Linked DNA regions of Oryzias latipes. The protein of the gene in region 1 purifies or fractionates together with the protein of each later gene. This does not show direct contact. Links are inferred from orthologs where the notes say so. Each region holds a gene or a part of one and is shown on either strand. Other genes may lie near its edges.

Region 1 (3,564 bases):
CTCGCTGCACTCTTGCTCTTCACACAAACATTTGTTGTCAAAATTGATTCATAATGATAAATTAAACTGATTAACAGTGCAGGGATTGTTGTAGCTGGTTTGTTACCTTCACAGAGCAAGTTTTCTTGCTGTACATGTCAGTCCGCAGCCCAAAGTTCTGCAGGTCTGTTGGCTTCTCCTTCATTTTATCAGGAAAAGACATAATTGGCTGGGGGGCAGGAGTCTGCAGGAAAACCGGGACGGAAGGAAAAAGGTCAATCGGGGTCAGGTTTCATTTGCATGAGAATGTCTGAGGATACACACACCTGGGAGGTCTTGGGCTGCAGTGGAACTAAACTGGATGGGGTGTCCGCCAGGACATGGAAGTGAGAGGTGGGTGGGGGTCCCATCGGTGTGGGCCGACTTTCAGAGTCCACTTGGTAGTTGATCAGCCCCCATTGTTCCAAAAAGGCATGGACTCTGTAGAGCAAACAAACAAAGAAGTACTGACAGCCTGTTAGCTGCTAGATGTGAGAGGAGATGTAAACAGATGCTCCACTTACCTCATGATGGCGCACACATCTCCCGCCAAGTTCCTACGGCAGGCGGTGGAGGTCAGATACTCCTGAGGGTTTAGTCTGTAGGTGTCAATCATGAAGTTTCTGTACGCCAGATAACTGACAGAACGAGACAGAGGAAGAAAACGGAGATCATCCAAAACGACACAGTGCATCAATACAACAAAGGTGAAGAAATATAGTAATCTGTTACTTTCTTTAAGGAACAGTATCTATGCAGGACTTACATCTCAGGAGTTTTGGATTTGTTCTTCCCATTGAAAAACTCAGGAAGGGCTCTGCGCTCGATGGCATGAACACTGCATCACAGAGTTTATGAAGAGCTTTGAGTTCATGTCACTATTGTAACGCTCAACTGTTGCAACATTGTATACTGAATATGATCCTGAAGATCAACTCCTGCTAAATAAGTTGAAAAGGGTCATTTGTACCTGTTGTAGTCAAACCAGGCAGCATAGCTTGGTATGATGATGTGGTGCGTTTGTTCAGTCACGTTGTCCTCGTGAAGATCTGAACTCTTCACTGGCTCCCCCTTCACACTCGGAGAGCCTTCCTCCTCTTCCTGTTGGAACAAGAACACCCGAGCTCAAACAAACACGTCTTTTCTGAATGTTTGCGTCCATGTTTTAAAAGCGCCGCTGCTGGAGGTGACAATACCTTCCCTGTGGTTTCCATGGACTCGTCCTCTTGCTCATCTGCTTAATTCAGAGTCAGTGGGAAATCGTTACCATTCAACATCCAGAAACAGTTCTTAGAAAATGAAGGAGGCTACAAGGCTACAAACTGAGAGGATGTAGGAACGTCAAGATCAAACTGATAAGAACCACAAAGAAAAGTTTCTGTGTGTGGCAACAAACTTTGGAACAAGTTAAGTAATGAGCTCAAAAAATGTTCAAATATCCAAATATTCAAGAAAAGGTATGAAGAAACTCTGATTTCACAATATGAAAATAAGAAGATTTAAGGATCAACAGCTGTTTGAATAATTCTAAATACATGTGTGAACTTGATTGTGGTGAAATAATCAAAGCTCTTTTAATTACAACCACTGAGTTTTACATTGTAATGTGTAATAATGATTAATGAAACGTTTAAATTACAATCAATAACTATTGATTTTGTTTACTTGATCTGCAATGTGCAGCAATAATTAATGGTTTAATGTCATCATGTGTTCTAATAATAATCAATGGTTATCACATATTGGTTACCGATACTGTTTACTGATATAAATAAATGAATGTTTTCTGAAGATAATCAATCATTTTGTTACTTGAAAAGACTCTATCGGATCAGAACCGGATTACAAAAACTGTAAAATGAATTAACTCAGTAGGGGTGGGATTATATAGGTTTGCTTATTCCCGCTGCTTTTCCAGCAATAAATCAAGCTATACTTATACTTTAGTTAATGATCACTGTATTTAATTAAGCAAATGTGATTTAAGTGACATTTTTGTTTTGTTTTGTTTTGTTTTATTTTCTGTCTTTTTAATCTATGCATTTCAAAATTTCTGTAATGAGTTTAAAAAATATGTGCAAATTCTTTATTGCTTTGACTACAATGCTTGAAATCAATCAATAAATCAAATCAATTCAACAGAAGAACAGCTAGTAATAATAAAACAGTTCCAAGGGGTGTGTATTGGCTACAGCAGGGGTGTCAAAGTCATTTTCACTGAGGGCCACATCAGCATAGTGGCTGTCCTCAAAGGGCCAGATATAACTTAGACATGTAACTAAATGTACTGATAAATAAATGTAACTACTCCTTAATGTTAAATAACTCATTATTTATTTATTATAACTTTTTAAAGCGACAATTACAGTTGCATAGAAACATATGTGTGCTTGTTACTCTAGCATAAATCCTTTTACATTTGATTCTGTCAGGTTAGGTTATATGGACAGTGTTTAAGTCCTAATGTATAGTTGCCCAATCCCATATTTCCAGTCAGATTCCCCTTAGATATGAATAAATATACACCAATTTTTCATTTTTATTTTAAGAAATTAAAAATTCAGGTCTCATAACAACAAAACCTGAACATTTAACTTAAGCTAATTCTCACGAGATCTGTTTTGGTGCATTATAGAGCTGCTCAAAGAGGCTCAGTGGGCGGTGCTGCCAACTAGCGGTCGGGGGCCTAAGAGGAAAAGGAGTCAGACGCTGATGGACGCTCATAAACAACTAAATAAAAATCCTCTTGACAGTATTTTAAATCAATACAAGTATCGTCAAATGAATTGTTGCGATACATCAACAAATAGAATATATTTTTCTCAACACCCCACGCAGTTGCCAGACGAATGCGTCTGCCCCCTTTACTAGACTCACCCATGTCAGTTCCTCCCTTGACTGGAGTGGAATCTGAGTCTTTCTTGGTATTATCTGCACAGAAACAGAAGGTTTTCACTAAGTAAATAGGTCCAACTCCAGGGCTTCTTCAAAGAAATCACCAGCCCCTTCAACAGGAACATCCGTGCAGTCAAGTTCTGTCAGCTTTACCAACTGTCCCACAAACACAAGGTTAGGATTTATTCGCCTTTAAGTGAAAGCTACCAAGGTGACAATCCTCCCTTTGTTCATGTTTCACCAACAGTGACTGAGTGAACGGTTGTCAGAGTGAACAATAAGGTGTGTTTTCACAGTTCCATCTTATCTAAAGTGAACAGGGATGTAAATGTGCATACTTGTCTTTGCTGCATTCCCATCTTCAGACGGTGGAACAGGTGACGTTTCATCCAGGTCCTTGGACAGATCCTCCTGTTCCTCCTCTCTCTGGCCTCGTTTAGACTTGGTGTATGGGGTTGTTGGTCTATCAGCACATACATGAAGGACAGAAGGTTATTTTGATCTATATTATAGCACGGCTAAACCCTGCAGTGTGTGTCGGGACTGGAGAAGGGTTTCGGACGCTGAATGAGAAGAGGGCTTAAGACAGGATCAGCTTTATCAAATGCATTTTTCTGTCAACATCCTTCCTTGTTCTGCATCCTAATTTCA
Region 2 (4,190 bases), on another chromosome or scaffold:
CATAACAGTTTAAAAAGTCTCAGCTGAACTGTAATGAGTAATACTTGCATAAACATGTAAAAAGAAACCCATCATAATTCTGAAAATGTTGTTAATTTCCCAACATCCAAGCAGGTTTCTTATGCATTACGGACAAAAAGGTGGTACAAAAGCTATCTCAGCGCTGCATTTTCCCCTTTGCAAATCCTCTTCAAAGGCGGTGCCCCCGATTCATCTACCGGTAGGTCCTCCTGCTGGACAAGAGTACAAGTTAGACATGTCAGCTTCTATTTACACCTCAAAACTTATCAGGACATAACTAACTCGACGTGAAATGGGATACAGTGTCCCCTCGTTTATCGCTGCGATAGATGAAATCCACAGAGTAGCATTACAGATGTTTCAAGGCTGGAATGCCTACTATACCACTTTACTATACCAAAGACTTTAAAAATGGGACCCAATGCCTCCCTGCTTGACACTCAACATTAAGGGGTTGGCTTGGACCACCCGAGCGCGGCTCGTCGGCAGCTCACCGCTCCCCCAGGGGATGGGTCAAATGCGGAAAACAAATTTCCCACACCTAGGTGTGTGACAGATAGTGGGACTTTATCTTTATTTTACACTTTATACTATTTTCTCAGACAGAAATGAACATTTTCCCAGTTTTTTTCTCTTGCTTAAACTCTCAAAGTTCAAACCTTCCCAGAAAAGTATGTAAAGGATCATAGACGGAAAGCAAACATCTGATCACAATTGAAGATTTGTGCCCATTTTTCAAACAGACTGCTTAGGAGATAGTGCATGGAGGAGATTGATTGACCGTTGTCAAGAGCCAATGAGGGGGCAGAACACGATACGCTGTTAGAAAGAACAACACGCAGAATTACACTCTTTTATTCCAAGCGCAATATACTAAGGGGACCACTGTATTTCATGAAGATGTGCTTGAGTTTGTCTTGGAAGCTGTCGAAGAGAAACCTGTATATCTGAAGCTCCCCGTTTGATGGCTCCAGATGAGAGAGGGTCCTCTTTAATAAGAGTAGGTGGCTCATCTGCACCTTCCTGTCCCAAATGGACTGGTTCTGCATCAAGAGAGAGAAGACACTGTGTCATTAAGTTAGGAAGAGATTTTGTTTTTATTCATTTAAAGTCATCTTCTGATCTATTTTCAGTGTTCCCAGTGGTCTTTTAATTATTATTATGCTATTTTTAGCCACACACACAAAAAAAAAAACTTGTATTGTTTCTTAGGAGAGTTTCTGCAGAGCAGCAGCAGTTCATTAGGAATTCTTCTGAGTTGTGGGCGGGACCACTGGCGCAGAGTAATTTCCCATCATCTCCTTTGTTTACACTCACTCCCAGTAGCTTACAGCCCCCTACAACCCCAACAAAACATTACAGGTGAAACTGGTGAGCAACATTGGAGCATCCAGCCAGCTTGGACAAGGAGAACAAAGGCGAACATGGATATGATTGTGGATGCATCGAAATGGAGCAGAGCAGGGAGCTTTATCCTCCACCACTTTTTTTTTTTTTATCTGCTCCTGATTCACAGTTTGAATAAAAAAATACTCAGAAATGCAGTTTTAAGCTATAATTGTTTATACATGGCCATCATCAGAAAAATGCAACAAGAACATGTTAGAAACACCAAAAACAGGATTTTAATGACAGTTCTGGACATGGTTTTATTTACATACCATCCACACTCTCCTGGCCCAGCATGGGCGGCTGGGAGTCCTCCGCTCGGAGGCTGAAGGTATGCGGGGGGCTGACCTGCTGGGAGCTGGAGTTGCTGCTGCTGTTGTCCATTTTTGGTTGATAAACGTCTGACATGAAGCTTTGATTGCTGTTGTCATCTAAGAGCAGACGTTTGGAACAATCATGAAACCCTTGGAATGGAGGATCACTTTGATCTGGTTAAATCAAACCCAATTGATCCAAGATATGAATGATAAAGAAAATGTTCTTTAGGAATCCTCAGGCTACCTGTGAAATCCAGCAAAGAGTTGGTGTTTTCCAGAACCACATCCTTCAGTCCCCTAACGTCTCCACCCGTAGATTTGGTCCGAAAGATCTGGAAAGAGGATGAAACCCATCAGGAGGATGCAGGTCGTGACACAGGTCTCTGTGTGTTTTATTGACTGAGGCTCACACCTGTTTCGTTTCAGTGACTGGAACCCACTTGAATATGCGCAGGGACGTGTCTCCAACCGTCACCCATTTCTTCTCCCTGAGGAGAAATGTACGTTGGATCATGGGGAAATCTCCTAGCAGCTGCTAGATTTCAGGGCGTCGTAATAATAATAGAGAAATGAACGCATTTATTAGTCACGCGTGTTTTCATAGTCCGGTGCAGCGGAGCTAATATCTGATCAAAACCCTCTACTTCTCCGTGCACAGCAGAATGGAGGAAATTCAATGTAACGCGTTAGTGTCTGATTTCCACAGCAATGCAGCTCTCAGGAGGCTCGCCGACTTCTCAAGCCGCCGCATGTGAAGCTGCTGGAGCCATATTGACAGCTGTCGGCGGAAAAACTCAACTAGCCCCGCCTCCTCTGTCAAACGGGCGCGCTGGTTGGTCGAAAGCCTTGTCAATCATCCAACTTTCCCGACTGAAGTTTGTTGAGCTACGCAGCAAGATATCGCGCCGCGGTCTCGATTTTCATGCCCTTTTTGCGCCGCGCAGTTTACATACCATTTGCGCACTTTCTCGATGGCCGCCAGGACCTTTTTGATGTCGTCTTTGGCCCGACTTCGGGTCTCAGCGCGGCCTGATCGTCCAGACATCTTGATCCCGTTATGATTCATCTACCGATGCATCTGAAACTTCAAGCCCCGATCCTCCCAGAGGGATAAATCTCGCGATACTTGGACCTCCTCGTTTTCTGTAATCTTGAGGTTTTGTGCTCAGTCATGTACCGATAATGTAAGTTATAGTGTGTTCGAAGTGCGTGGGATAGTTTTGAACGTTTCAGGAAATAATAAAATATGTACGAAGCCCTGTACATGGCACAAAAAAGACCAATGGTTCCCTCAAATTAATAATTTGTGGCCTCGGATTAGCTAATTAGAAATTTGTGCACACAACACCAATTTGTGCATGTAGATGTGCGTACATCATGATGTTATTTTGTAAACACAAAATGTTAATTTGTGTGTAATAAATGCTCATTTGCGCACACAAACTAGGCCTACTCATTTACGCCCACCGAGTGTTGTAAAAATACCAACTTGTGCCCACAAAATATAAATTTGTGTCCACAAATTGTGAAGACAAAATACTATTTGTGTCCACAAAGTGCGAATTTGTGCACACAAAGTAGCAGTTTATGCCCACAAATTCTCATTTGTGGGCACAAAATGCTAATAAATTGCAACTTGTGCACACAAAATACGAATTTTGAGAAGATAAGAACATGTTCATACAGAATGCTAATATGTGACCACCAAATGCCAATTTAATGCCAATTTGTTTGCTCAAAATACTCATTTGTGTCCAAAAAATTCTAATTTGTGTGCACTAAATACTAATTTTGTGTACACAGCAAACTTGTATGCACAAAATACAAATTTGGTGCAAACCAAATGCATACATTGCCCATAAAATCCTTTTTCGTGCCCACAAAATGCTAATGAAATGCTAATTTGTTTGCACAAAACTAATTTGTTCTCATAAAATGCTAAGTTGTTATAACGGAAGGCTAATTTGTGGCCACAAAACGCTACTGTCCGACTACAATTTGCCAGTTTGTACATTTGTGCAAATGCTAATTTGTGTGCAAAAAATAGTAATAAAATGCTTATTTGTACACACAAAATGCTACCTTCAAACTTGTGTACTAACCTTTTTCCTATTAATGCTACTTTGTGCCCACAACAAATGTTTAGAAAATGCTGATTTGTGGCCATGAATTACCAAAATGTGGCTTCAAAATGCTAATTTGTGCACACAAAATACAAATTCATGGCCACAAATGATTATTTTGAGGGAAGATGTTTTCTAACATGTCCAGAGCTACGTAAATATGACCCTGTTAGAAAATACACGAGGACGCGTGTTATAAATATAAATAAATATGTGTTTGTCTGTGTTCAAATATTTAAATCTACAATTAAACCTCACAGAAAACATGTCAGGTGTTTTCCCTATGACAACATGTGAGTGGCAGTCAACATGGTCACATGATAAATAAAAAGCAAGGCAG

What was found. Proteins that work in one complex are often made in the same cells at the same time.
Region 2: the proteins of smarcc2 (region 1) and bcl7b purify together in Homo sapiens (affinity purification with mass spectrometry; 3 studies listed by BioGRID and IntAct, counting the BioPlex papers as one, with this or other methods). This does not show direct contact. The link is inferred for Oryzias latipes from reciprocal best matches to the Homo sapiens genes SMARCC2 and BCL7B.

What each region holds. Positions count from the first base shown.
Region 1 is NC_019863.2:4,297,102-4,300,665, forward strand, and holds part of smarcc2 (SWI/SNF complex subunit SMARCC2), read right to left. Parts: intron 3,377-3,564; coding exon 3,252-3,376; intron 2,950-3,251; coding exon 2,896-2,949; intron 1,256-2,895; coding exon of another isoform or gene 1,253-1,255; coding exon 1,215-1,252; intron 1,120-1,214; coding exon 989-1,119; intron 857-988; coding exon 785-856; intron 657-784; coding exon 543-656; intron 460-542; coding exon 306-459; intron 224-305; coding exon 107-223; intron 18-106; coding exon 1-17. UniProt on the Homo sapiens protein: Involved in transcriptional activation and repression of select genes by chromatin remodeling (alteration of DNA-nucleosome topology).
Region 2 is NC_019871.2:22,450,536-22,454,725, reverse strand, and holds the start of bcl7b (B-cell CLL/lymphoma 7 protein family member B), read right to left. Parts: upstream 2,843-4,190; 5' UTR 2,794-2,842; coding exon 2,681-2,793; intron 2,216-2,680; coding exon 2,140-2,215; intron 2,060-2,139; coding exon 1,972-2,059; intron 1,842-1,971; coding exon 1,683-1,841; intron 1,065-1,682; coding exon 961-1,064; intron 234-960; coding exon 153-233; 3' UTR 1-152. UniProt on the Homo sapiens protein: Positive regulator of apoptosis. Plays a role in the Wnt signaling pathway, negatively regulating the expression of Wnt signaling components CTNNB1 and HMGA1.